7 linked regions of the Macaca fascicularis genome follow. The protein of the gene in region 3 binds, or shares a complex with, the protein of the main gene of each other region. Links are inferred from orthologs where the notes say so. Each region holds a gene or a part of one and is shown on either strand. Other genes may lie near its edges.

Evidence for each region.
Region 1: VAMP7 (region 3) and STX5 share a complex: the UniProt entries of both Homo sapiens proteins name them as parts of the SNARE complex. The link is inferred for Macaca fascicularis from reciprocal best matches to the Homo sapiens genes VAMP7 and STX5.
Region 2: VAMP7 (region 3) and VTI1B share a complex: the UniProt entries of both Homo sapiens proteins name them as parts of the SNARE complex. The link is inferred for Macaca fascicularis from reciprocal best matches to the Homo sapiens genes VAMP7 and VTI1B.
Region 4: VAMP7 (region 3) and STX18 share a complex: the UniProt entries of both Homo sapiens proteins name them as parts of the SNARE complex. The link is inferred for Macaca fascicularis from reciprocal best matches to the Homo sapiens genes VAMP7 and STX18.
Region 5: VAMP7 (region 3) and STX7 share a complex: the UniProt entries of both Homo sapiens proteins name them as parts of the SNARE complex. The link is inferred for Macaca fascicularis from reciprocal best matches to the Homo sapiens genes VAMP7 and STX7.
Region 6: VAMP7 (region 3) and STX4 share a complex: the UniProt entries of both Homo sapiens proteins name them as parts of the SNARE complex. The link is inferred for Macaca fascicularis from reciprocal best matches to the Homo sapiens genes VAMP7 and STX4.
Region 7: VAMP7 (region 3) and BET1L share a complex: the UniProt entries of both Homo sapiens proteins name them as parts of the SNARE complex. The link is inferred for Macaca fascicularis from reciprocal best matches to the Homo sapiens genes VAMP7 and BET1L.

What each region holds. Positions count from the first base shown.
Region 1 is NC_088388.1:11,216,575-11,220,807, forward strand, and holds the start of STX5 (syntaxin-5), read left to right. Parts: upstream 1-1,433; 5' UTR 1,434-1,569; intron 1,570-2,015; 5' UTR 2,016-2,164; intron 2,165-2,260; 5' UTR 2,261-2,279; coding exon 2,280-2,504; intron 2,505-4,233. Other genes in the region: WDR74 (WD repeat-containing protein 74), read left to right, coding at 331-510; TEX54 (testis-expressed protein 54), read left to right, coding at 644-1,150. UniProt on the Homo sapiens protein: Mediates endoplasmic reticulum to Golgi transport.
Region 2 is NC_088381.1:135,559,350-135,562,690, forward strand, and holds part of VTI1B (vesicle transport through interaction with t-SNAREs homolog 1B), read right to left. Parts: intron 2,329-3,341; coding exon 2,155-2,328; intron 1-2,154. UniProt on the Homo sapiens protein: V-SNARE that mediates vesicle transport pathways through interactions with t-SNAREs on the target membrane. These interactions are proposed to mediate aspects of the specificity of vesicle trafficking and to promote fusion of the lipid bilayers.
Region 3 is NC_088395.1:161,936,688-161,940,187, reverse strand, and holds part of VAMP7 (vesicle-associated membrane protein 7), read right to left. Parts: intron 3,174-3,500; coding exon 3,116-3,173; intron 695-3,115; coding exon 557-694; intron 1-556. UniProt on the Homo sapiens protein: Involved in the targeting and/or fusion of transport vesicles to their target membrane during transport of proteins from the early endosome to the lysosome. Required for heterotypic fusion of late endosomes with lysosomes and homotypic lysosomal fusion.
Region 4 is NC_088379.1:8,513,663-8,517,932, forward strand, and holds the start of STX18 (syntaxin-18), read left to right. Parts: upstream 1-1,470; 5' UTR 1,471-1,554; coding exon 1,555-1,722; intron 1,723-4,270. UniProt on the Homo sapiens protein: Syntaxin that may be involved in targeting and fusion of Golgi-derived retrograde transport vesicles with the ER.
Region 5 is NC_088378.1:36,468,806-36,472,913, forward strand, and holds the start of STX7 (syntaxin-7), read right to left. Parts: upstream 2,801-4,108; 5' UTR 2,691-2,800; intron 1-2,690. UniProt on the Homo sapiens protein: May be involved in protein trafficking from the plasma membrane to the early endosome (EE) as well as in homotypic fusion of endocytic organelles. Mediates the endocytic trafficking from early endosomes to late endosomes and lysosomes.
Region 6 is NC_088394.1:29,214,429-29,218,394, reverse strand, and holds the start of STX4 (syntaxin-4), read right to left. Parts: upstream 2,801-3,966; 5' UTR 2,543-2,800; coding exon 2,513-2,542; intron 2,336-2,512; coding exon 2,234-2,335; intron 2,145-2,233; coding exon of another isoform or gene 2,123-2,144; coding exon 2,023-2,122; intron 1,887-2,022; coding exon 1,812-1,886; intron 1,375-1,811; coding exon 1,304-1,374; intron 1-1,303. UniProt on the Homo sapiens protein: Plasma membrane t-SNARE that mediates docking of transport vesicles. Necessary for the translocation of SLC2A4 from intracellular vesicles to the plasma membrane.
Region 7 is NC_088388.1:85,832-89,807, forward strand, and holds the start of BET1L (BET1-like protein), read right to left. Parts: upstream 2,801-3,976; 5' UTR 2,724-2,800; coding exon 2,705-2,723; intron 1,459-2,704; coding exon 1,367-1,458; intron 1,084-1,366; coding exon 1,027-1,083; intron 885-1,026; coding exon 717-884; 3' UTR 1-716. UniProt on the Homo sapiens protein: Vesicle SNARE required for targeting and fusion of retrograde transport vesicles with the Golgi complex. Required for the integrity of the Golgi complex.

The sequences.
Region 1 (4,233 bases), on a different chromosome or scaffold from region 3:
GGCATTAACAGTTAAAATCCTGAGGGTTATTGCCAAGAGCATGGATGGGGTTGCTTTCTGGGAGCAGGGAATAAAGGTGGTGATACCCAGAGGGATTATTTCTCAGCCAGGGTCTCCTTCCCTGTGGGTTTGTCCCTGTGCCCCTGACTACTTTTTCTTTTTTTTTTAACTTCTTTTTGTGGAGATGGGGTCTCCTATGTTGCCCAGTCTGGTCGCTAAGTCCTGGGCTCAAGCAATCCTCCTGCCTTGGTCTCCCAAAGTGCTGAGATTACAGGTGGGAGCTACCATGCCCAGTCCCCCTGACTCCTACACTTTCTTCCCACTCACCAGGATGAGCCCCAAGAGCCTCAAGAACCCAACAAGGTGCCCCTAGAAGACACAGAGACAGACGAACTTTGGGCATCCTTGGAGGCAGCTGCCAAGCGGAAGCTCTCGGATTTGGAGCAGACCCAAGGAGCTCTCCAAACCAGACGGAGAAAGAAGAAGCGGCCTGGGTCCACCAGCCCCTGACGCCCCTGTGCCTGCCCACTTTGTAAATAAACAGCTGAACATCCACCATGACCCTGAGCCTTTTGTGATGGGAGAAAGGAATGAGGGGTAGCTTGGGGTGGGGGCTCCCTGAGCTGGGGCGACGGGATATCTGATGTCACAAAAGCCGGGCCTGGAGGCAGGTAGGCTGGCGTGGGTGGCAGGGAGTCCGGGGCCCCGAGGGGCCATGGGCTGCTGCCAAGACAAGGACTTTGAGATGTCGGATGAGCAGTCCAAGGAGGCAGAGTCTGAGGCCGTCAGGGAAGATGGGACCAGAGGCACACACAGAGGGCCCAGGGAGTGTGAGAAGGGGCTTCCCGAGGGTAGGGGTGAGCTCAGAGGCCTCGTCGCCTCAGGCGCCGAAGGTATCGACTTGAACTCCCCGGACCATCGGAATCATAAGTCGAACGAAAGCCTTCTGATCACCGTGCTGTGGCGGCGACTATCCATGTTCAGTCGTCGGGGCTCCTCGCGGTCAAGCAAGAGACAATCAGACCAGATTAGGTCATCAATGTTCAGTGGTCGGGACTCCTTGCCGTCAAGCAAGAGGCAATCAGATCAGACTCGGAAACAGGAGCGTCCGATCCGAGAAGGCAACCAGGAGGAGCCGGAGAAGGGATGACCCCAGACCTGCTCTTAGTCAGCCCCAACCTCCAGAGAATAAAATTTCTAACGTGTACCTGCACCACCACTCTGGGAAACGGGCGCGGACACCGCCGGGCAGCTGGTTCTTTAAGGCTCCTCCCCGGAGGCGGGCCCAGCCCCCTGGGCTCCCGCTGTAGTACTCAGGGGCGGGGTCACGGCAGCGCCTTAGCCAATGGGAGGGGGGGTCGCTCTTGCGTTTGGATGTGGGGCGTGTCTTTCGGGTCGCCTGGCTTGAAAATGCGTGGGACCGCCCCCTCGTCACCGGGGGTGGGGTTACGTGTAGGTGACGTGGCCGCTTCCAGTCTGGTCGGGTTTCGGCGGCCTCAGTGCCCAGGGAGGAGGCAGTGACGGCCGGGGAGATTGGTAGTGGCGGCGGCGACAGGCAGCAGAGGGGAGGTAAGACTTGCTCTAAGAGGGGGTCTGGCCACCGTGTCAGCTCTGGGGCAGTGGTTTTACAGGGGCGACGACTGGCAGGGGGAAGGGAACCAGGGGCAAGCAGGCAAGTCCTGCCGGCCCGGCTCCTGGTGAGCGAATTCCTTGCCGTCCAATCAGGAAAGCCTCTGTTGAGAGAGACGTCGGCATTAGCTAATGAGTGGTTGAAGTCTTCCAGAAGGCGGACCTTGGGCGGGGGTGGGACTTCCTGTTTCAAATAAACACCCAGAGGTGTCCCCCTCCGCCCACCGAAGTGTGTCAGTCTTTGGAGGTCCGTCACCGGCCCCCCCCCGAGGGGCCGAAGGAAACCACGGAAACGAAGGGACTGGGTTAGGGCCCGGGGCAGTTACACGGGCCAGGCCGCAGTCTGAGGGCCACGGGACTTGGCTCTGGCCCTGTCTCTGCTTCAGGGCCCCCGGCCCGCGCTCTGGCCGCCGGAGCCAAGTTGGAAGAAGAGTCTGAAGCGGGTTCGACTTGGGACAGGGGAAAAGCAGAGCCCTTTCCGCTGCTGGCCCGCCCCAGGATCTGCGAGCGTCTTGGGCGCGAAAGTCCATGAGAAGTGCGGAAGGGGCTCGAGGATTTGTTGATTGGGGTGGGGCGGGGGAGTTTGGGGAAAGAAGCTGCCTGGGGAATGACACTCTCCCCTCCACAACAGTCCGAGGTTATGCGTCTCAATGATCCCGCGGAAACGCTACGGGTCTAAGAACACGGATCAGGGTGTCTACCTGGGTCTCTCAAAGACACAGGTCCTGTCCCCTGCACCTGCTGGCAGTAGCAGCAGCGACATCGCCCCTCTGCCCCCCCCAGTGGCCCTCGTCCCTCCCCCTCCCGACACCATGTCCTGCCGGGATCGGACCCAGGAGTTTCTGTCTGCCTGCAAGTCGCTGCAGACCCGTCAGGTAAGGACCTGGAGTGGAAAATGCGAGGAGTGAGCCATACTCAAATCTAGGAAGGACTGTGCTCCACCACTGTTAACTGAAGTAATTCTTGGGGGTACCTGATGGAACTGATAGGCTTGGATGGGGCCAGTAGGGTCTGCTGTAAGCAACAGAGAAGAGGTCGGCTGGCTAACTAGAGGCAAGGACTTAGACCTTTTTTTAGGAGGAATCCCTTGGAGGGCAGAAGTGCTATTCTGGAGGGAGTACTTCAGAGAGTACTTGGCTGTAATATAATTGGTGTGAATAAGGAACAAGTTCTAGGAAGAGCCTTTAGCTGAGAAACACGCACCTTGAATTTTCCAATATATTTCTACCATAAATTTGCTCTGTAACCATGAGAAAATTAATCTAGTTACATCTTAGTTTTTATCTCTGTAACATTAAGGACATTTTCTAGATCAGTAATTTGTTGTTTTTGTTTTGTTTTGAGATCTGTTTTCAACTCTGTCAACAGGCTGGAGTGTAGTGGCGTGATGATAGCTCACTGCAGTCTTGAACTCTTAGACTCAAGGGATCCTCTTTCCACAGCCACCTGAGCAGCTGGGACTACATGGATGCACCACCCAGCTAATTTTAAAATTTTTTTTGTACAGGCAGTGTCTCACTATGTTGCCCAGGTTGGTCTGGACACAAACACCTGGCCCTAGACCAGTAATTTGTATCAAAATAACTTAGGGTTGGATGTGGTGGCTCGTACCTGTAATTCCAGCACTTTGGGAGGCCTAGGCCACAGGATCGCTTGAGGCCAGGAGTTAGAGACCAGCAGGGGCAATGAAGAAAGACCCTGTCTCTACAAGAAAAGAAAAAAAAAGCTGGACGTGGTAGCATGTGCCTGTAGTCCCACCTACTTAGAAGGCTGAGCGAGGCCCAGTCTCTTTCTCTTTTTTTTTTTTTTTATTTTAAGAAGGAATTTCACTCTTGTCGCCTAGACTGGAGTGCAGTGGTGCAATCTCAGCTCACTGCAACCTTCTCTTCCCGGGTTCAAGCGATTCTTCTGCCTCAGCTTCTGGAGTAGCTGGGATTACAGGTGCCCGTCACCGTGCCCGGCTAATTTTTGTATTTTTTTTTTAGTAGAGACGGGGTTTCACCATGTTGGTGGGGCCGATCTTGAACTCTTGACCTCAGGTGATCTGCCTTCCTTAGCCTCCCAAAGTGCTGGGATTACAGGCATAAGCCACTGCGCCCAGCCTCTCTCTCCTTTTTTGGAAACAGGGTCTCACTCTGTCACCAAAGCTGGAGTGCAGTGGTTCTATCTCGGCTCACTGCAACATCTGCCCTCCTGGGCTCAAGCAGCCCTCCTGCCTCCAGCTTCTCAGTAGCTGGGATTATAGGCATGTGCTACCATGTCTGCCTAATTTTTGTTTTGTTAGTAGAGACGGGGTTTTACCATGTTGCCCAGACTTGTCTCGAACTTCTGTGCTCAAGTGATCCACCTTCTTCATCTTCTCAAAGTGCTGGGATTACAGGTGTCAGCCACTGCACTCAGCTCCTCTTAAAAAAAAAATTGGGAGTGCTTTCTAATTATTTATTTATTTAATTAATTATTTTTTTTTTTTTTTTTGAGACGGAGTCTCGCTCTGTCGCCCAAGCTGGAGTGCAGTGGCCGGATCTCAGCTCACTGCAAGCTCCGCCGCCCGAGTTTACACCATTCTCCTGCCTCAGCCTCCCGAGTAGCTGGGACTACAGGCGC
Region 2 (3,341 bases), on a different chromosome or scaffold from region 3:
TCTTTACCCTCTTAAGAGACAGTTGCATTGAATTGTGAAAAGAACCTCCATGTAACTTTCAACTGCCTGCTACTAATCTGGACAGCTGGAGGATATTTCACCTCCAGCAGATGGCTACCTGCCATCTGTTCCCATTCCCCAGTGGCCTTGGTAAGCTGACCTCTCAGCTCATTCCGTGGCTTTTATTTCTTTGAAACAGGGTCTCGCTCCGTCACTCAGGCTGGAGTGCAGTGCTGCAATCGCAGCTCACTACAGCCTTGACTTCCCAGGCTCAAGCAATACCCCCACCTGTCCCCAAGTAAGGTGGGATCACAGGTGCATGCCACCATACCCTGCTACTTTTTTTTATTTTTAGTAGAGATGAGATCTCACTATGTTGCCCAGGCTGGTTTCAAACTCCTAGGCTCAAGCCATCCTCCCACCTCAGCCTCCCAAAGTGCTAAAATTACAGGTGTGAGCCTGGCCTCCTGGGCTTTTAAATTCAACCAATCTACCTGGTATGTTCAAAAACCAAAACCCACACAATCTGAAAGCAAGTTACATTCTCCATAGCTTTCCTTGAATGTAGTACTTTATTGTGAATTTTCACTGAAGAGGGCAGGCACTACTCTGACTTAATGGAGAATTGTAGCTACTAAGAAAATCTACTCAAATCTTCACACTGAGCTAGTATTTTCCTGTCCAAATCTTGGCCACAGTATGTTTTTCAAATTGATTTGCCTTCTGCTATTAAGAATACAGCATTCAATTGGCAAATTGTACTAATTTAAAAATTCCAGTCGGGCACAGTGGCTCATGCCTGTAATCCTAGCGCTTTGGGAGGCCAAGGTGGAATGATTGCTCGAGCCCAGGAGTTCGAGAGCAACTTTGGCAACATAGTGAAACCCCGTTTTCACAAAAAATTAAAACAATTAGCCAGGCACAGTAGCACATGCCTGCAGTCCCAGCTACACATGAGGATCACTTGAGCCCTGGAGTTTGAAGCTATAGTAAGTTCTAATTGCACTGCTGCACTCCAGCTTGGGTGACAGAGCAAGACCCTGTCTCTAAAAAACTAAAAAATTCATACATAGGTTAACTCATTTATGGAAAGGAAAAAATAAATGAGTTATTTTTCTGAGGCTCTCAGAGTGACAGTAGACTAGAGGTCCCTGATATAGTCATCATTTGGTGTTAAATATTTGTTTTCTTTCCACAATGATCCAGTTTACCTTACTGGATAATCCTTAGAGATTTTTTTTCCCTATTACTTTTTTTTTTTTTTTTTTTTTTACTTTTACTTAGATAATAGTAAAGGGTTATAGTCCAGGATTGAAGCATAATTTATAAATCTATAAACTGTGGTACTATTTTACGAAATCTAGAAAATAGCCTTGGCTCTAAATGACAGGGTATAAGTAGATGATGTTTTCATAAGAATAGCAGAATACTCTATTAGATGTGTAAAAAATTAAAATCTGATTGGAAGCTTTGAATCCTTAAGTGCCTTTTGACGTATTATTTCTCTTGCCAAAGAGAGAATACAGCCACTTTATCCTTATTAATTCCTGTAATCTTATAAGTGTAGAAATCAGGTTTCTTCCATCTTTTTTTCCCTTCACTGAAGCAAAAATTTCCAATGATGTCTAATTCTTAGGGGTAAAATTGCTTCTAAGGGAGATCTCTTGGCCAAGCAAACTAAAAATTGAGCAAAGCGGCCAGGCACAGTGGCTCATGCCTGTAATCCTAGCACTTTGGGAGGCCAGAGCGGATGGATCACCTGAGGTTAGGAGTTCGAGATCAGCCTGGCCAACATGGCGAAACCCCGTCTCTACTAAAAATACAAAAATTAGCTACGTGTGGTGGCACATGCCTGCAATCCCAGCTATTCAGGAGGCTGAGGCAAGAGAATCGCTTGAACCCAGGATGTGGCGGTTGCAGTGAGTGGAGATCACGCCACTGCACTCCAGTCTGGGTGACACAGTGAGACGCTATCTCAAAATAAATAAGTAATAAAAAAATTAATAAATAAAAATTGAGAAAAGCATATGAACTTAAAAAAGACTATTCCCTGAATACAGAACTGCTGTAGCTTTTGGTCTTAGTATGGTTTCCAGGTGCAGTGGCCCCCTAATTTCCCCATACTTGCCCCTTTCCCTGTCTGCCCAGACTTACTCTACTCTTGGTGCGTTCTAACTGGTCTCGTTGTTCCCCCAGCTCTTCTATGATTTCTGAGCCAATTTGGTCGGTCTCCGTGGCAATCCGATGAGAGCGTTCAATACTTTGGGTGGCCCGGTTCAGGCTTTCAGTGCCTTGCAGAAGCATTGCCCTTTGAGACTGTAGCCGATTCTGAAAGGAGTATGGAAGAGAAATGTTAGACTTTTTCCATAATAAATTCATTGCCAGCATATTCCTCATGACCTTCCCCATGTTAGAAAGCATACAGTGAGCAATAATTTTCATTCCTTTTAAGACAGAACCAAAGAAGCTAATGATTCTTTTCAAGGTCACAGACTAAAGCAGAACCTGAAATGAATCAATAGGATCACAATACCCCCACTCCACTGTCTTTTACACTTATGTGAGGCAAGGAAAGATGGATTAAAAATACTGGAGCACTTTCCCTGTGTTTGTGATGAATCTGAACTGGTTCATGTGTCTCCTGGACTATCAACTTCTGAAAGGTGGCAGCCCAGATGTGGGAGCTACCTGATTAATGCATATAGCCTGTAACTTTGATAGTGCTATGAGCAAACCAACTAAACTCCGCAGCCCTAGAAAAAGGTTAATTCACTGAAGATTCCCACTTGACTGGTACTGAGAACTGAAGGACCATGAACAAGCTATTCTGTTCTTTGTTTTAAGCCTCCAGCACCTGGTATTTCCAGGTGGTCTCCCATCCAAGTACTAACCAGGCCTGACTCGCTTAGCTTCTGAGATCAGGCAGGTTCGGGGTGGTATTGCCTAGATGACTACAATTCTTCTTTTCAGCATCTAAAGAAATTTTGTAGAAGTCTGAGACACTACCACATTCTGGAAAAAACGTATGTGGTTACCCTCTTGGTGAGCCCCAAAAAGAACTTCACCTAAGGTCAAACAAAAAGCCTTGAGGCTGCCACACTGGGGGTGATTTGGTCTCAGGGAAATTAGTATCTGGGGCTTGAGCAAGCTTCCCCATCTGCCCTAATTTCTCAACTGCCCTAATTTTCTAAATCCCCACCGAAGTTTTACCCCACCTGTAATCCTAAACACAGACAGCATGAAGACAAAAGTAGCCTTGTCAGGCCAGAATTAACAACCACTGACAGAAATGGAGGCAGCTCCAAGTTCTTAGCTGTTCAAAGCGCGCGTGCACACACACA
Region 3 (3,500 bases):
GAAAACAGATCAGTGGTTGCCTGGGGCAGAGTGTGGGGGAGGGGACCGACATAAGGGAATTTTTAGGGAGATTAAAATGCTGTCTTGAGTACAGTGGTATTTCACAGGTATAAACACATGTAAAACCTCACGAAGCTGATAATTATGGACTCATACAGATGAAGAGAGTTTCAAATTATTAATTTGGGTTGTTAGAAAATTAAATTTGCCTCATGGAAGGGTAGAAGGTTTATGTACAGGTTAAAAGATCATTTGGCATGTTGAACACATTTAAGCATCAGATGGGTAGTTGAACTAGATGATCTTTAATGCTCTTCCGATCATGAGACACTATGACCACTATTAATAGAGAATACAGAGATAATAAAGAATATCACTGTTTTCTACCCTAAAATTGCTCCTTTACATTTTTTTTAATCAGGCAAGTTTTATTATGTTGACTTACAGTAACACAATCAGAAAACTATATTGCAGGTCAGGGCCCCCTAGATTCATAGCATTTGAAGGTAATAAAGAAGATAAAAATCAAAATACCTTATCCTGAGAAAGATCTTACCAGCTGTGCAGCCAAGACACTGGAGAACTCGCTATTCATGGCATATGGAAGTGCTGTCTGTGCTCTTGAACCATAAGTAGTCTGGAACCTCTTCTTTATCTCATTCAGAAAATTAAAGGCTCGAGAACGTTCAAAATCCTGAAAAGAGATCAACACAGAACTCACATTTAGAAAGTAAACAAAGATGATGTGAGTGATTAAGAACAACAATAAAAAATAGCTAACATTGATTGAGCAATGATTCTATGAGGAGGAACTAGCAATGATCCTATCTTAAAGATAAGTAAAGGAAGGCCCTGAAAAAGTAACTAACTTGTCCAAAGGTCCAACAACTAGTAAATGAAAGAGCTGAGAGTGAATCCAGATATATCCGGTCATTGACAACTGAAGATAATGATAATTATCAACTTCTTGACATCAGGAATTGGGTTTTACTTCCTCCATATATTTTACAGGATCTATTAGAAGGCCCAGCACAAGAATATGTTTAATAAATCCCATAATAATCATACAGTCTTTCATACACACAGATAATACTACTGATATTAACTTCAAATTGAATTTTTTCAATAGTGGTGGTACATTTGAAAAGATCAAGTGACATACTCATGTCTAATCTCAGCCAGCCAAAAATTATGTGTGTTCTCTAGAAGAATACCTTAGAGGAAAAAAATGAATGTGTGTATGTGTGTTTATGTATGTATGTGTATGTGTGTATCAAATTACAGCTCAAGAAATACGAGGCTCGACTCTGACTATCCCAGATTTCATTATTATTTTTTATCTACTCCAAGCTCTTTCACATCAGTCATTTCACATATAGCTGGATTTTTTTCTACTTTTGGAAAATATTGTGAAGCCAGAGATAAAAATCATTGTGATGATCACTATGGTTGACAGTCATTTCCCTTTCACCCAAGATGCTTAGTCTAAGCCGAGGGTTCTTAAATTGGGGTCAATGGTCCAAATTCAAGGGGCCCTTGTACTTGGATAGAAAAAAAGATCATCACATCATTATTTTTATCAATTGTTAACTTATATTTCAATTGTGAATATAGGTAGTATATTCATAACCAAGGTAGTATTAACAGTACCTGTAACTATCACCAACAGAAATCTTTTTTCATATACCATCACAGTTATAGATATCTCAAAATATTGTTAACACCCATCACATCAAGATTATTAGTTATTAGACCCACGACTAGACCTTGTTAATGAGTTAATAAAGAAGCATATATATGACTACATCAAGTTTTTAAAATATTTTGAAAACTACATATATATATATTTCAATACAACTGGCTTTGTTAGAATTGTGTGTGTTTTATACATTTAAAAGCATTCTGGAAAAGGAAAATTAAAAAAAGAAAACAAAAGCATTCTGGGAGTGTTCCACAAGTGACGAGTCTGTGATACAACAAAGATTAGGAACCCTGATCTATGGCAACCATGCCAATTCCATGTCTCTTTGTCAGTAGACAGTTTAGAAATGAGCATGCAGCCAATAAGACATGAAAGGAAGTTCACTTTGAAAGAAGGGGGAGGGGAGGGCATGCAGCTGGGAAAAGCTTCCTCATTCCTACAATAAGACACTCAAGAAGACACAGTCCCTCTTCTCTGGACATGAATAAATAAGTATGTAGCTCTACATAACCATAATGGCAACCTGTCTGGGAAGAAGGAGACACGGAGGAAAGCAGAGAAGAGAAAGGACCTTAATGACATCATTAAGTTACTGAGAATTTTGGGCTGAGAGCCGACAGTCATACCTAGCCAATGTAAACTACAGGTTTATATAGCTGATCATAATGTACTGTAATTTTGTTTTTCCAAAGTTCACACACATGAAAGAATTCATTAACTACTGATAGAAGGAATGACGTTATCTAATTTAACATTCCAGGTAAACAATTTTTGAGAGGTTTTGATATCAAAGAATTATAATTATGAACACCAATTCTCACTACAAAATAGAATATAGAAGTTGCAACAGGCTAAGCTAAAACTCTACCAAAATCGAACTGATTTGCACATACCGCAGTATCAAGTTTTCTTATCATTTGCTGCTCTATATGACAAATGCAAAATATTAACAATTCCAGCTATGTAAAGTTCGCATCACCTTTGCCCACCATAGGTACAGATCAGCAGTCCCCAACCTTTTTGGCACCAGGGACCGGTTTTGTAGAAGACAATTTTTCCAAGGACTGGGGGAGGGGGAATGTTTTCGGGATGAAACTGTTCCACCTCAGATCATCAGGCATTAGTTAGATTCTCATAAGGAGCATGCAACCTAGATCCCTCGGATGTATAGTTCATCACAGGGTTCGCACTCATATGAGAATCTAATGCTGCTGCTGATCTGATAGGAGGTGGAACTCAGGTGGTAATGCTCATAGGCCACTCACCTCCTGCTATGTGGTCTGGTTCCTAACAAGCCACAGACCTGTACCAGTCTGCAGCCTGGGGGTTGGGGACCCCTGGTGTAGATAATAAAGAACTGGCTGTATTAATAGTACACATAGTTAAATAGCAATATGTCTTCAAGTTACTTACATCATCAGTGATACAAAGATATACAATCCTGTCTTGGCAGATGTAATGAAACAAATAACTGTAGAATAAAAGATATAAAACTTACTGTGGTTATAAGCAACATCACTTTTACTTCTATCTTCTATCTATGTATAAGCAAGTTCAGTACTGCCAATGTCACCACATTACTTACGGATACAGTCTATTCTCCCTCTTCCCCTTCCCAATATACCTGTTTCTTTCAAGTCAAACTGAGAGAAGTAAATAAGAAATAAAAGGAAGATCTCTATTCTAGCTACATAGCACAACAGCATGTGTATTACCCATTAGAACCACAGCTGCAAAAGCATAATTGGACTCTCAAAGCATGAACAAGAGATGACATCTTAGGAGGAGCATGTAATTA
Region 4 (4,270 bases), on a different chromosome or scaffold from region 3:
TACACTTTCTTGACATCTATTTCTCATAAACTTTATTTCTTTAACACAGTGGTTCTCAAACTTTTGGTCTCAACTCTTTTGCACACTTAAAAATTATTAAGGGCTCTAAACAATTTTTGTTTATATTGACATTATCGACATTCACTATATGAGAAATTAAAAACTTTTGATGTTTTTGAAAATCTTTTTTTTGAAGTCTGGCTTAATAGAAAACAGCTGTTCTGCATTTATTCCGTTGCAATATCACAGTCTAGCAAACTCAACTGTATGCAACTCATGAGAAAGTGAGAGTGAAAAGGCAAATAACATCTTAGTATTATGAAAATATTTTTATATTGACCATTAAAACCACTATTTTAATACACATTCTACTTGTGCATCCTCTTTATGGAAAAAAAAAAATCTTGAAGAAATCAATGAGATTTTGAATATCCTTAGGCCAGCCATGGTGGCAAGTGCCTACAGTTCCAGCTACTCAGGAGGCGGAGCCGGGGAGGATCGTTTGTGCCCTGGCGTTCCAGTCTGTAATGAGCTAGGATGGCGCCTCTGAATAGCCACTGCAATCCAGCCTGGGCAACATAGCAGACCCCCATCTCAAAAAACAACACAAAACAGAACCATGAACCAAAAATGCAGAAGAAACTCATTGACTGACTTGTCAATTTTAATAGCTATGGCTCAAGACGGTACAATTAAAAACTATGCATGAAGCAAGAACAGAATCCAGCGACATTAGGGCCACTCTTTCACCTTTGCCTCCATCTAAAGTTCCTATTCATCCTTCAAATCTCTGCACAGGTGACGCCTTTTCTCTACAGCCTCTTCCATCACCACAAATACGAGTGATTATAATAATAACATTATTAACGATTACTACCATTTATTGGCCACTTACTAGGAGCCAAGCAACATCAAAACACAGCACGCGTCAGCTCACTTAATTTTCACAGTAAACTCCGGGGAGGATGCTGGCTTCACTTTACAGAGGTGACTGAAGGGTGGAGAAGAAAGACCTCTGGCCTCTAGCTCTATGCCTTGCACATCTGCTCTGTCTCAGCACTTATTGCACCCCGAGGGTCACCGTCCAAGCGCCTCTGTCCTGCTCAAGGTGAGTCCTTGCAGTCAAAGGTCAAGGGTGGCTCGCCTCCACGTCCCCCGCAACCAAACCGCCCGCTCTCAGTGAGGGAGCCACCAGAAGGGAAGGAGCCTCCCAGCTTCCCGGTCCTCACGCTCCCGGAGCCCACACGCCCCAAAAAAGCACAGGAAAGCTCGCTGAGCTCTCCGCACTGCTAAACCCTCCAAGCTTTGCCGGGAGAAAGAGGTGCCCGTGAGCTCGTCGCGGGGTTCCTCCTCCGCCAGGTGCGCCGCTGAGTTCGGAACCTTTTTCCTCCCGCCGCGGTAGCGGGGCTCAGGCCGGAACCTTTCTTCTCGCATCGCAGTTGCCGGTGGGGAGGAGTGCGGGGCAGGACCAGTCCTCCAGCGGCCGGGTTCTCGCCGCGGTCGCCGGCTGCTTACGTGAGCGGGCCCAGTGTGGGTCTGCGGGTACGGGTCGCTATGGCCGTGGACATCACGCTGCTATTCCGGGCCAGCGTCAAGACCGTGAAGACGCGGAACAAGGCGCTGGGAGTGGCGGTGGGCGGCGGGGTCGATGGCAGCCGGGATGAGCTGTTCCGCCGGAGCCCCCGGCCCAAGGGCGACTTCTCCAGCCGGGCCCGCGAAGTGGTGAGCTGGTTGCTATGGAAACGGCGGGTTGAGGAGGGGGCAGTCCTGCGACAGGGACCCCGAGCCCCAAACCACACCCCGTCCCGTAAGCATTGTGTGAAGGAGGTGGCCCCAAGGGGGACAGGAGAGTTGGCCTCAGAGACCGGACAGCTTTTTGGGGAAGGAACAGCCTTATTTTAAGGAAGGGGGACGCATATTGGGGAACAGATTTCTCCTGCGGCGGCGGGGGTTGGGGGACGAGGAAGGAGACCCTCAGAAATCTCTATCTGGAAAGTGCACGGGCGGCTTTGTGAGGTCATGAGTTCGCCGTCACTACAGACTTGCACTCACGGGAAACCTCACTGTCCTTCACTTCCTGTTGCAGAACTGACCACACCGTATTTGCCTGTGCTCTTTACTTGTCTGCCTCCCATCCCCAGTTGAGATTAAAAACCATATTCAACCGAACTCTTTCTTCCCTTTGTCTCCGCGATAAGTAGGGCTCAGTTCCTCTTGAGACGAGTTTAGGGTCATCTTTCGCAAACACGGTGTTACAGTCATCTCAACTACTTTCTGTTCCCTGATCAGAGCAGGTGTCCCTTCATCTCTCTGGGAACAGGAACCTTTTCCTTAAGGGCAGGGACAGTTGTTTTCATCTCACAATGCATGACTCATAGCATTGCTTAGTAAATGTTTGTTGAATGAATGAATGAACAAAATGGCTGTCTTTCCCGTTAAACAGAAAATTCCATGAGGGGAGAGATGTTTGTCTTGTTCCCTTTTGTGTCCGTGACACCAAGGAGGGATCTAGGTTTTGTGGGGCCGAAAGTTTTTATAGTTATGTCTGCCGTCTTTAAGAAATAAAAATCACCAAGAGAGATTCAGAGCTTTGGAAGATGGAAGTGAGGGACCCCGAAGCTAAAACCTCATTAATTTCACAGTAGATCCTACTCTGCTTGGCATACACTTGGCACTGCATAGACACTCAGATATTTTCGAATGAATGTATGCATGCATGCATTAATGACAGTTAGCAGAGGATACTTAAACATCAGAAAGGGGTTGGACCAGATGAATACACTCTCCCTATTGATGAACATCTATGAAGCACCTACTTTCTGACCAGCCTCATGTTAGAGTAATATGATGTAAAAGGAGTAGTGGAGTAGACGGACATAGACATAAAACAAGTGCCATAAAGCCTTGCAAGTGTTATGTAGGGCACAAAGAAGAATGTGGTCAGTTCTACCTGAGGATCAGAAAAGGCTTTATAGAGGTGATGATGCCCAAAACAAATCTTGAAAGAGGATTAGTTGGCTCCAGTGCAGAAGGGCATCTCAGGCTAAAAGAATAGTATGCGCTAAGATGTGGAGGTGTGTAAGAGTCTGATATAAGTTGGTTCAATAAACATTTGAGTGAGACTGGTATGTGGGACTCTCATAAAAATTGGACCGGGAGAGATCTTAAAGGGCTTTGTATATCACTGCGGAGTTTGAATTTTGCCCTCTAGGCCGTCAGATGTTATATGGTAGAGAAAGTACCAGAGAAGGAGCCAGGAGACCAGGTTGTTGTCTGAACCCTGCAACTGTTAGCTATATGATTTCATTAAGCAAGTGTCAAGACCTCAGTTTATTTACCTGTAAATGGTCCTTTTTTTTCTCCTCCTCCTTTTAAAAAACTACCTTGGTCCTCTATATATAACAAATTAAAGTGGAAGCTTCCTAGGCTGAAATGAGAGGAAGAGAAACAGGATACTCTCCCTCCCAGTTTGGCCTAAGCACTTCCTGGGGTTCCTTTTGTAGAACCGTGGTATGAATATCACAGTATTGGCGTTGTAAGGGTCCCTTCTGACTCTGAAACCACTGATTTATGAACACTGTGCTAATTTTGAGTCCTGCTCAGGGAAAGGGGGGATTTGGGAATGGTCGAGACAAGAGGCACAGTTGAGTTGGCAAGCCCTTTGGATAGCCCTGTGATCACTTCCACCGCTCCCTGAGTGGTGAAAATGTGTTTTAGACTTTTGAGTTAATGGGCCTCAGGGACAGTAACAGTCCTGTAGGGTGCTGAGTTCCCTGTCACTGGAAGTAATTAAACAGAGTGATGACTGCTTTTCAGAGATGTTTGAGAAGAACTTTGTGCATATGTCATAGGTTTGGACCGCGTGACAGTGAAACTTCCAATTCTGCTATGTATTGATGTGAGTAGGTGTCACATTACCTTAAGTGAGTACATGGGCTGTGTTGTTCAGGGACGCTGTCCCCCTGACGTAGAGGAAACATACATTCTTTTAAGCAATTTTGATTTTGTGTTGTCATTGCTTTGCGTATTATCTCCTGTTCTTCCAACCATTCCCCACTCCCCATCTTCTCTTGTGGGAATTTTAACTAGAAGAGCTAGTGATGGATGTCCTGTGCTTTCACTATGATTAGATGTGTCAAAAGTTTGCCTGTTATTTTGTTTGGCCTGGATTCCTTATACAGAAAAGTCTGGTCAATACCAGAAGCACATATTCTAATTCAGGTTTAGCCCTGGTTGTCAGACTTAATGAAATGTAATAAGTTATAGTATG
Region 5 (4,108 bases), on a different chromosome or scaffold from region 3:
ACATTGTATACATCTACTGAGGTATCACATGTACCCCACAAATGTGTATAATCATTATCTGTCAATTAAAATAAAAGCAAAAAATATCTTATTATAAGCTGTTAACAAGGTAACTGCAGTAAGAAACTACACTTTTACTCTACATTTCATTTTTTGATGTGACAATTTACACCGTTTTATATTGTATATCACTTAAATTACATTGTAGCTCTTGTTTTTAAAAAATTAAAATTAATTAAAATTAAGTTAAATGAAAAATTCAGTTCCTCGGTCATACTAGACACCTTTCAAACGTTCAAAAATTCTGTGTTCCTAGTGGCCAGCAGCTTGGACAGCTCATTCACAGACCACGTCCATCATCACAGAAAGAGCTATTGCACAGTGCCAATCTCCACATCGCAATAATCATCTTTCTATGAAGATACACAAACACCATAAAGAGAAAAACAGGAAGGGAGAATCAAAGTGCAACACTCAGATGAGCGTCTTCTCAAGACTGCTTCTAAAGAACACAAAAGAATGAACAAAGGGAACGTTAAAATGTAATCTTAAAGTGTCAAACACTACTCCCAGTTAAAATCAGATACACTGTAGAATCCTTAAGATTTCCATTTAGCATATATCTCATGCTCTATAAATCTACTCTGGGCAAAGAAGGGGTCAATTTCACTTTCTTAATCATTAACATCAGCATAAACAACTGGACTTCTCTCTACCCTCTACCCCAAATAAGTTCTGACGGGTGGGGGGTGAGCATTTTTTTGCCTGTTTTGTGGATTGCACTATTCTCAGTGCCTGGCTACATCATAAGTGCTTAACAAATATTTGTAGAATGAATGAATGTACCCACTTCCTAAGAACACACACCCAGCGTGAGGGTAAATATTACCATTTCTAAAACATAAAATTCCAGTGCCTTCTTTCAGATCCCGAAGGTCGCAGGCTCCTTGCTGCCTTAGGCCTTTGCTGGGTGCCATTTCCTATTTCTAGAAGGCTCTTCTCATGATCTCCATGTGACTGGCTCCTTCTCCCCAGCAAGGCCTCATCACATGCTAGAGAAACCTTTGTGACCACTCTGATCTGAAAGTGAGAACTCACCACAGGCCACTCTTTGTCAATCTAACTTACTGCTTCACAATACTCAATAGTCTAATTAGTTACTGTTTATTATTGATCCCTACACCTCTGGAATACAAACCTTTATTATTGATCCCTATACCTCTGGAATACAAACAGGAGCTACTTCTGGAATATAAACAGGGGATAGATGACCTTGTCATTCTGTGTAATCTACAGTGCCTGGTGCATACTAAATGCTCAAGGAACTGTCTACATAAGTATCCTCTGCACAAACTACATTAACTGCATTCTTTGGCCTTAGATCTTCCATCACTGAACTTTTGTACTACTTGGTTTTAGTTCACAATATCAAGGATTATTTTTTTCACACTTTCACACATGAAACTTGCAAATTAAATGGAATCACAGCAAACTTTACTCAGACTTACTGTGGATATTTTCTATAATTTACTTTTCAATCATCAGCACTTAAAGTTTGGGGTCATAATCAAAATGAGAATTGATTTTGTTATCAAGAGCAACATAAGTAACATATCCGAGGAAAAATGATGATGTTAATGACTTAATATGGTATCATATTAACCTCTGCAGACACTGTGAAGTTAAGAGCATAATTCTTAACTAGTCACAAGTCTGAGGCCAACTTCTCAAAGTGGCCTATAAGGCCTGGCCACATCACAAACACAGTTTAACACCATTATTAGCCTCTGCCCAGGTGTGCTCAGAGAACCTGCAGAAGAAACGCTCACTTCCAACATTATTAAATAGCACAGCATTTCATAATTACTTTCTTTTCTTCCAGATTCTAGGCAAGTTTTATATACTATATATAATTATAGTCAGAATACAACGATCTGAGGTAAACAAAAATTAACGTATATAGATAACAGTCAAGCAAATGTGAGAAATTTGTGGGAAAAAAACACACAGCATTTGATCAGAAATGCAACTTTTTTTTCTTTGTCTGAATTTAAAGAAAGTAAGTAACTAAAAAACAAGGTGGAGGAAATACTAGAAATATTTTATGTATGTTTAAAGGTTTTTATGTAAATTAATTAAACGTGTATACTAAGAATGTCAAAGTATGTTAAGTCATCAAGCCAAATAAAACAAATACTACGAGCCACTGAATAAACAAACATACACGGTTTGTCTGCTACAGCCATACATTTTTCAGTTCCTCTATATTCGGGAAGTTTAAAGTGTGTTTTTCAATCCATGAGTTGAAAAGAGGAAGAGGTCATTTGGTCGTGTCTGGATTCCTGGGCTGGGCCCCAGCCGGGTCTGGCGCCGGCCACGCCGTGCGCCTCGGGAGCGCTGCCCATGGGACCACGGCGGGTGCGTGGCTGGCCAGGCCCACCTAACCACAGCCGCGCACTCCAGGAATGCGGAACGCGCCGCGCCCCTGCACCCGGCCTGGGGGTATGGGGAGCCGCAGGCGCTCCGGGAGCCGGGGCAGTCCGGCCCTTCCTCACCTACCGAGTGCCTGCTGCAGAGCGCAGGGCGGCGGCCACCTGACCACGCGCACAAACAAGGAGGAGCGGCGCCGCAGGGGCACCGCGCCTCCCTGTCGCACGGCCAGGAAACCCCCCTCCCCAGGGTCCTCTTACCTGGACCTCGGTGGCTCCCTCCTACACCTCCGACCACCGTCACCCACCGACCCCCGAGCCTTCAGCTGCAATTCTCAGCTGATGGGCGGTGGCGTGGGGACGCCCAATGCGCATGCCCGCAGCACAATTCAAGGAAGAAGGCGGGGTTCACCCCTTTTCTATTGGCCCGCGGGGCTGAGTGACAGCGGCCCTCACCGCCCCTTCGGTTCCAAGCTAAGGAATGGGAGTATCAGCAAAATTGCAAGGGAGCTGTTCTTTGAAGCCTGACGTAGAGATGGTGAACGCCTCTTAGCCTGCGTGCAAAAAAGCAGAGGACAGAATGGAGGACAGTTGTCTTCTTTATCTGGTGAAGCCTTCTTGCACGCAGGTCTTCACCCCGCCCCTTTAGCTCCTGCCTATCTTGTTTGCTAACCTTTAACTGCAGTAGATCGCGTTCACAGCTCTATCGAAAAATGCAAAGGCGAATACAAAATCCTAGCGGGAACAATGAAGGAATAAGTGAAGAGTCATCTCTGGGTCCTCACTTAGTAAACAAGTTTTCCTAGTACGTACAAGTCATTCGAAGCATTCCTGAAAAGCAGGGCGTAGTTTTCACAGGGTTTAAAACAAGCAGAGACTGTTCCAATGATAAATATGCAAATATAATATAATTGTTAGATGAAAAGCATCAATTGCTACAAATGAAAGAAAGCCCTCACCAAATTAATTAGAAGATAGATTGGCTTAGCCTTCGCCTATATTAAGGAAACACTATTTTCTAAAATGATTACCCGGATATGTGATATCAAAAGTCCAGATGCACTTAGGTGGAAAAAAGCAAAACCTAGTATAGAATTCTGGTTGAAACTCACCAACACTAAGTGTGGAATGTTATCTGTTTAAGAGAGATGGACAGAGAAAGAATAACCCAGAAAAGGAGTAACCCACAAGATAGGAAATAAACCAGGAAAAGGCAAACTAGAGAATGAAGGGAAAAAAGAGGGAATGGTCCATCATGTCATCTGTCACAGAAAGTTCAAGTAAATAAAGAACTGAAAGTAGTGCATTGTACTTGAGAATTAGGAAGTGGCTGGTGAACGTAGGAAGAGACATTTCAATCGTTGAAGGAACTCATGAAAGGATCTTACATCTGTGTGAGGTTTAGTGCACTTTCCAAATACCATTCATATTATCTTTGATAGACCTCTGGGCTCTGGGAGGGGAAGGTACAATGCACTACAGAAGAACCTGAGATTAACTGGCCTCTTCAAGTTGCCCTGATAGTTACTGACTATGCTGGGACCAAAACTTAGCTGTCTGAGCCCTCATTCTGGGCTTATTGCAATTTCTTGCTTTAAAATATGTTATGAATGGATTCCTTCCAGGTCTTTTGAAAACTTAAGAATAAGATTTCATCCTTTGGTATTTAAATGGAAAAA
Region 6 (3,966 bases), on a different chromosome or scaffold from region 3:
ATCTGCTCTGCCTTGCCCCTTCTCCTGAGACCTTAAATATGCTCATTCCTTGGAGTTCCTTTTCCAGAGATACATCTGCTCTCCTGGTTCCAGCTGCACCCTTCCAAGATGCCCAAGCTGTTTCATCTTCAATCTGGGGTCCTTGCTGAGCCCTGGGCTCAACTACTCCAACCCTGACCTCTTGGTATCCTCCTCACTGGGGACACAAAGAGGGCCAGTCAGATCACTGCAAATCTCCTTACTAAGATATCACCCCAGGGGCCGTGCACGGTGGCTCATGCCTGTAATCATAGCACTTTGGGAGGCCAAAGCAGGTGGATCACTTGAGGACTTGAGGTCAGGAGTTCAAGACCAGCCTGGCCAACATGGTGAAACCTCATTTCTACCAAAAATATAAAAAACTAGCCAGGTGTGGTGGTGTACGCCTGTAATCCCAGCTACTTGTGAGGCTGAGGGAGGATTATCGCTTGAAGGAGGTGGAGGTTGCAGTCAGCCAAGACTGTGCCACTGTACTCCAGCCTGGGCGACAGAGAGAGACTCCATCTCAAAAAAATAATAATAATTTTTTAAAAAAAGATATTACACCAGGGGAGTTCCTCTTCAGTGTCGCCCCAGGGAAGTTCCACTTCCTGACTTCTTGAATTCCACCTGTGGGACTAAGGATGTCCCTGTCACACAGATAGCAAACCTGCCAGTCAATTTGTGACTTCTCACTCTCCTTCCCTGGGCAGCGCCATTAGCCACCAGATCCCACGTGAGTAATGTCTTTATCCCCTATTGAACCCTAACTCCTCATGTTGACTCCTAGAAAACACGTGTCCCAGCTGGGCGCAGTGGCTCACGCCTGTAATTCCAGCACTTTGGGAGGCCAAGGCAGGAGGGTCACCTGAGGTCAGGAGTTCGAGACCAGCCTGGCCAACATGGGGAAACCCCGTCTCTACTAAAAATACAAAAATTAACTCGGCATGGTGGTGTCCGCCTGTAATCCCAGCTATTCAGGAGGCTGAGGCAAAAAGAAAAGAAAACGTGTCCCACAGTCAAGCCTAGGTCTTGTCTGGGGTCAATAAGTAACTTCTTATTGAATGGAAGAAAATAAAGCAGGGTGTTATAACCGGACTGAGCATCAGGAGACCTGGTTTCCTGACCTTGAGCAAGTTCTTTCTCTCTCTGAGCTCAGGTTCCCCACTTGGAAAAATCATCCAATTGGACTCCATGACCTCTACAGGCCCTTCCTTCATACATCTGTCATCTACTACTTCATGAAACATTTGCTGAAATGTCATTTCTGAGAAAAAAAACCCACCTGGGTTTTTCTCATTCTTGTGTTGATGGAGTTATAGTTCTCATCAGCTTCCTCCTTCTGGGGCTCTATGGCTGTGGGAAGACACAGGGGTATTGGGGGTACTTGTCTCCATAGGATTTTTAGGGAAATATAATTTATCATAAAATGACTAAGGCTGAGCCTCCAAGAGGAGAAAGTAAGTTTATTTTTCTTTGCATTACATCACTTGAGTTCCCGTACGAATGCAGAGGCCACCTAACAAAACCCCATCTCCCTGCCCAAAGAATGCCCCAGTGGGCAGTGATAACTGTGTAAGTAAATGGTTTCATTGTAAATAAAAGAACCTGAGAGACTGCCTTGTGCTGTGGAGAGTACAATGGCCTGGAGGCCAGAAGACAGAGATGCTAGAACCAGGCCTGCTGTGTGACCTGGATATATCACTGGCTTCTCTGGGCCACACACTCCCCAGATATACCAACAACAGGGCAGGATCAGAGGGAAGGATCTGCCTGAGGTCCCAGTAGCTCACCCTTCAGCTGCAGGCGGATCTCCCTCCCCAGCTGTTTGATCTCGTCGCGCAGGTTCTGCAGCTCCTGCTTCATGCCTGAATAAGAGAAGGCCACGACTCCCAAACAGCAGCCCCCACCTCAACAAACCACCCTGGCCACCACCTGCGTGGAACTACAACCCCCACAATCCCTGGGGCGGAGCATGCGCTATGCAGCCGGGGTTTCACTCACTCTCCTCAGGAAGGGGCGTGGCCAGGATGGTGACCTGCTGTTTCTCCAACTCCTGGACTTTATTCCCCAGCTTGACAATAGTCTGCCGAATTGTCCGGACCTGGGGAGGGTGACCGAGAGGGCTGAAAGAGATATGGGGTACTCCAGACCACGCTGCTCCTCGGGTCCTCCTACCCCCTCGCGAATCCAGGCCAAGACTCCATCCCCTTACCTTCTGGAAGAACTCCTCGTCCGGGCTCCCCAGCCGTGCCGTGCCCGGGTGCACCACCAGCGCGACTCGCTCCTTGTCCTCTTCGTCCGAGCTGTCATCCCCCTGCCAGGCCCGGAGTCATTGGCACCACTGTTTCGCTGCGGCTGTCACCCCGCAGGACCCACAGGCTTCCGGGACTTTCCTTCCTGGCCATCAGCCACCCCTCCCTACCCCGAAGACCAGGAGTCCTGCGTTCCAGTTCGTCCGCGCGCCCCCATCCCCGCTGCCCTGGCGTCTCACCTGCCTCAGCTCGTGGGTCCTGTCCCGCATGGCGGCCTGAGCTCTCCCTCCCCGGCGTCAGACCGGGAGGCCGGCAAACTTGGAATACCCGTACCCCACTCACACTCTGACACTCCCCTCCCTCCCCCTGTGGACCCCAACACCCCCACGAGCCACCAGAGCCTCCGTCCCTTGCACCGCCCACAGTCAATGGGAAGGCGCCGACCCCGGGGACCCCCCAAGGTTCCACAGGTTGGAATTCCCTTTTCTTCCCCCCTCCAGCTCCCGCAGCCTCAGCCCCGCCCCTCCGTGATAAATTCGGGGCATGCGCATATGGTCGCGTCTCTTCCTCGCCCGAGGCGCGGAAGGTGGAGTCGGAAGTTATTGCGCCCCGAGCGGAAGCGGAGCTGCGTGGACGCGAGAACTGGCTACCGTCACCGGAACCGTTGCATCTTCCAACGGAAATCTGGTTGCCAAAAGGGGTAGGAATACGTCATTTGTACGTAATCTGAGGCACCCGCATCTCATATCACCCCATGGTGCCCCCACCGCGTCACGTGAGCAACCCGGTCCCAAACTCGTGGACCGCAGAATGTGACGCTGTGACTGTCACGTGTCCCGGCTCGGTCAGCGCCGTCTCTGGGACGCTGTTTTCATCACGACGTCCCCGGCACTCCGACCACCGAACGACGCCCACACGGCCCCCGCGAGGTGGGGAGGGGCGCGCCCACCACTCCCAGAGGCCTTTCGAGGCAGTGGGTGGTAGGACCCTTGCTGACTTCGCCTTTATTGCTTTCGGGTCCAGGGGCGTGGGCGGACTGACGACTTAGCATTTGGGGCTGTCAGCATCATGGGACCTTGAAAATCGGGAAATAATAGGATCCGAGTCGTCAGCGTCAGAAAATTGCAGGGTTGTGTGGGCAGGGAATCTAGGGGTGGAAAGTGACCTCAGCCAAGGCAGAAACCTCTTCTTCCGCATCCTCCTGGCGCAGCCTCTGACAGGTGGGCAGCCAGCCGGCGCCCTCCTTGAACACTACAGCCCGGCTGCACTCACCACCTTGTGGGCTGTCAGACCATGTCAGGGCAGCTCAGGCTAAGAAAAGTGTCTCTGCACGCTGCCTTCCCTGCCACTCACACCCCCCAGACCCTGCCTTGCATCTGAGGCAGGTAATGACTTTGTTCTTAACTGAATCTGGGGAGTTCCTAGCTCAGTACCAAGCACATTACGGGCCCTCTATAAATACTTGTGGACAGAATCTTAGCCTTTCATGTATCTGAGGATGAAGACCCTGGTTCCTTGGCCTTCTTTAGGCTTCAGTCTTTCTGACTGTGACACTTCTCTAATCCTGGCTATCGAGATATTCACTCATTTTTTATTTTTAAAAATTTTTACAAGATGGGGTCTCACTATGTTGTCCAAGCTGGTCTCTAACTCCTGGGCTCAAGCAATCCTCCTGCCTCAGCCTCCCAAACTG
Region 7 (3,976 bases), on a different chromosome or scaffold from region 3:
CTCCTGGATACACAGTCACAGGACCCAGAAGGATCCCACCCAGTGGCTAGGCCAAGGCTGCAGTCCACTCCTTCATCCACAACCCGTTCTCCCCAGGGGTCTCACTTCATCCGCAGGACTGGAGAGTAGGCACAGAGAACTCACAGCAGGGTGGCCCGCACTGGTCTCCTGTGCTCAGCAACCATGGCCAGGAGTAACTGCCATCTCCAGGCTGAGAAGCCTCAGTTGGAGGAGATAGCACCCACTTAGGGTTCACAGCCCCTTCCTGTGTCAGTTCCAGGAACCTTGGATCACAGACATGGCCTCATCCAGACAAGGACACGACCGTGGAGCCTTCAGATGTCAGCGTCCCAAGAGCTGGGAGAAAGGCTGCAGGCCACAGGTGGCCACGCCTGGGATTCAACAGTTGCTCTGCTCAGACCTGGCTCCTCCAGACACGCTGCGGCCCCAGCTCTGCTTGTGTCTCTAGCATCTGGGGAAGGGGGGAGGGGCTGGGCCTTGGTTTCCCCGAAAGAGTCCCTTCCACACATGGGACCAGCCAACATGAGCTCATCAGGTCACAGGCAGCCGCAGCCTCCTGCCACACAGAAAGGATTCCTGGCCCACGATTATAATTTCAAAGGAGTACTTTGCAGGTAAGTCCTCTGGAGCCCAAGATGCCAGGCAGGGAAGACAATGGCTGCCCTTGGCACCCACAGACACCAGCTCCCACTGTCTCACGTCCTTGCCCTCGACAAGAAGTAGGAGAGGATGAAGAAGGCCACAATCAGACCCACAGCCATGCCACATAGAAGCTTCCGGTTGTCTCGTCCGGACCTTGCCATTGCGGAAAAGCGCTTCACACTCCCTGTAAGCAGGCCGGTCATGCTTGTGAAATCCGAGTCCTAAGGGAAGAATCCCGGCAAGATCACACAGAAGTGGTGATTTGACCACCCACCCGCACCAGTGCTGAAGGAGACACTGCAAGCTCTGTAGCAGGTAGTGCTGGGGGCAGGGCACTGATTCGCGCACACCGTGGGCCCTTACCATGCCATCCAGGTACCGGTTCTGATCCTCTGCATCCCTATCGATGTCCAGGGCGAGCTGTTCAGCACACAGAGAGGGCAGGGTTGGGCCAGAGCAGACACATAATACAGCACTCACCCTTCCCAGACCAGACAAACCCTGCCAACAACTCTGCCAGACACAGTGGGGCAGCAGCAGGAAGGTCCAGGTGTCAGCTGGGGCCTCATGCAGGTGAGCACAGCCACGAATCGAACGAGGAGGACGGCAAACTGCCTGAAACTCCTCTGGGCCCTCTACCTTCCCTCTGATCCCCATTCCCCAAGGGCACCAGGTGGAGGTAAGAGGACAGACCACCACTGACCGATTTGAGCCTGGTGACTTTGGAGGCCAGGCTGTCGGCCATTCGCTTGTTCTCCCGGTCTAGAATCTCTTCCACAGCGCCCGGGCTCTGAGCTGAGAAAAGAGAGGGGCTGAGTGATTGCATCCATCGGGGAGCGAGGCCTCTGACCCCTCTCACTCCAACCACAACTGGGTGAGTCAGAAATCTAGGGGCCCTAACCTAGGTTCCAGCAGGTGAATCTTGCACATGTGAGAGAGACTGCATAAAGGACGATGTGTGCAAGGGCCTGTCATGTGAACACGTGTCCTGTGTACACATCCAGGTGGGGATGGGCCAGCACCCACAGTGGGTTCAGTCCAACCAGCACCTTCTGAGACTGTGTAGCAAAAACTGGGCCCAGCTCTGGGATGTTAATAAGATGTGACACTTGCATCCAGGGAGGTCGCCATCTGTGTATGTGGAGCCCATTCTTATAGAAAAAGAGTAAACTCTGCTAAGAGCATAGGAAAGACTTGGGAAAAGTACCCAGCAGGGCAGCAGAAAGGCTCCTGCAGGGACGACCTTTGAGCTGGGTCCTGAAGAGGTGGCAAGGAACCAGGACAGAACATTGGGAAGGCCCTTTACCGCACAGAAAACAGCTGAGCAAAGTTCCCAATTCCGCGAGATGGGAGCTGAGGTCGACCAGGAGCGTGATCCCTGGTCTGCATCCCACACAGGGCTTCCTGCAACACCCAGGGCACAGCGCTTGCAGAGGCCCGGCCTGTGACAGGCTGGGCCAGGTGATAAGGAATTTCTGTCACCTCAGGTGGGTGAGAACCACCTTCTCCCTAGCTTCAACGTTAAGGAAGGGATGCCAGCGTCCTTCCAACCACTTCCTGTTCATTAATTCCTTTACTCATCATAACTCAGACAGGCATCAATATCCCACTTTGCAGAGAAGAACACGGGCTCCAGGAGGGGAAATGGGGCCACCGAGGCCCAAGTTAGTTAGCAGAGGCCTGCCTGGACACCAGCGGAGCACAGCCTACTCCGAAGGCCTGGCCTCGGGACCTGTCGAATGCCGAGACTCCCGCTCACCCTGAACCCATGCAAAACGATCTCACAGGGAGCGGCGGGGAGTGGGGGGACCCCGCAGCTGCGCGAGCCCTCGCTGGAGCTGCTGGGCCGCCCCGCCCGCCGTCCTTCCTAGCGGCAGTGCTGGCCGAAACCCGGCCCTGCTGGGACCCGGAAGGATCCGAATCCGCCCCCCTGACAGGGTCCTCCCCGCCGAGGCCAGAGGCAGGCGCACGCGGCTCTACAGGCAGCGGCGTCGGTTCCGGCCCGGCCCTGCCCCCAACGGCTCCGCTCTCCCGCGCTCACCCCGAGCCCAGTCCGCCATCGTGCCCTGCCCCGGCTCCTCGACGCCAACACCGACGCGGCCACAGCCGCCTCAGACGTGGCGCAGTCACGGGGAACGGGCTTCCGGCCCCGCCCCCCGCCAGCGATGGCCCCGCCTCCGCGCCAACCACGCCCCTAGATGGCGTCGGGCTCGCTGATTTCCGGCTTAGGCCCGAGGGTGGGGAACCGCGGGGTCGCGGAAGCGATGGGCGTCGCTGTGACTTATTTTCAGCACTGTCGCCCAGGCAGTGGCGCGATCTCAGCTCACTGCAGCCCCCGCCTGCCGGGCTCCCAAGGTGCTGGGATTACAGCAGCACCGCGGATGTGACGTTTGTTTGTTGTTCCTGTGAACGTGGGGCGGGGCGGGGCCGTTTGCTTGCTCAGTGCCAAGACGATGGTGGTGGAAAGACGCTGCCATGCGTTAGGTCCTAACGGTTAGGAAGGATTCACAGGCGGGTCATGAGGGAGGAGTAGGCCCCTCGGGCAGAAGCCCGCGAGGAGCCCTGGGTGTGGAGGGGGCAAGGGTGCCTCCTCTGTCAAGTGGAGATCGGCGCCTCGCTAGTGCCTGCGAGTGCGCGCCGCGTCGAATACAGGTGTGCGGAAAGCGCTACAGGAAAGTGAAGCAGGGAAAGAGACTGGGAGGCGGCACGGGGAGTGGGGGCCGTAGACGCCTTTGCTCCCGGGCACTTGTTACAAGAGCCAGTGGACCGCGCTTCCTGTGCGTCACTGAATCCTCCTGATGGCCACTGAAACGGACACGCAGGATCTTTGCTTGTCAAGAGGGAACTGAGTCCAGGCCAGACTGCGTTGCTCCCCTTTCTCTCGGCCCCTCACGGCCCTTCCACCTTTGCAAGTGCTGCTCCTTCTGCCTGGAGTGGCTCCTCCAGTCTTTTCCCGGCTCGCTTCCCATCGTCCAGTGTTAGCAAAAACACCACTGCCTCACAGCCCTTGCAGCCCAGCAGTCACCTTTTGCTTCTTTTGAAGCACAGCCCTGTGACCGCCTCATGTCCTTTTGTTTTTCCTTGTCTGCCTTCCCCTCTGGAACATAAGCTCCACAAAGGCAGGGGCCTGGGAGTCCCGTTCGCTTGCATTCCCCAGCAAACGCCTAACGAACCCAATGGCCCGGGACTGAAAAGTCCTTTCCACTTCGGCTTTCCCGTCTACATCCCATCGGTTCTGTGGAGCTCGAGGGGCGTCACTGTGTGTGTGGCAGGGCGCGGTGGGGGCTGAGATCCTTTCCTGTTGGAAATTCCG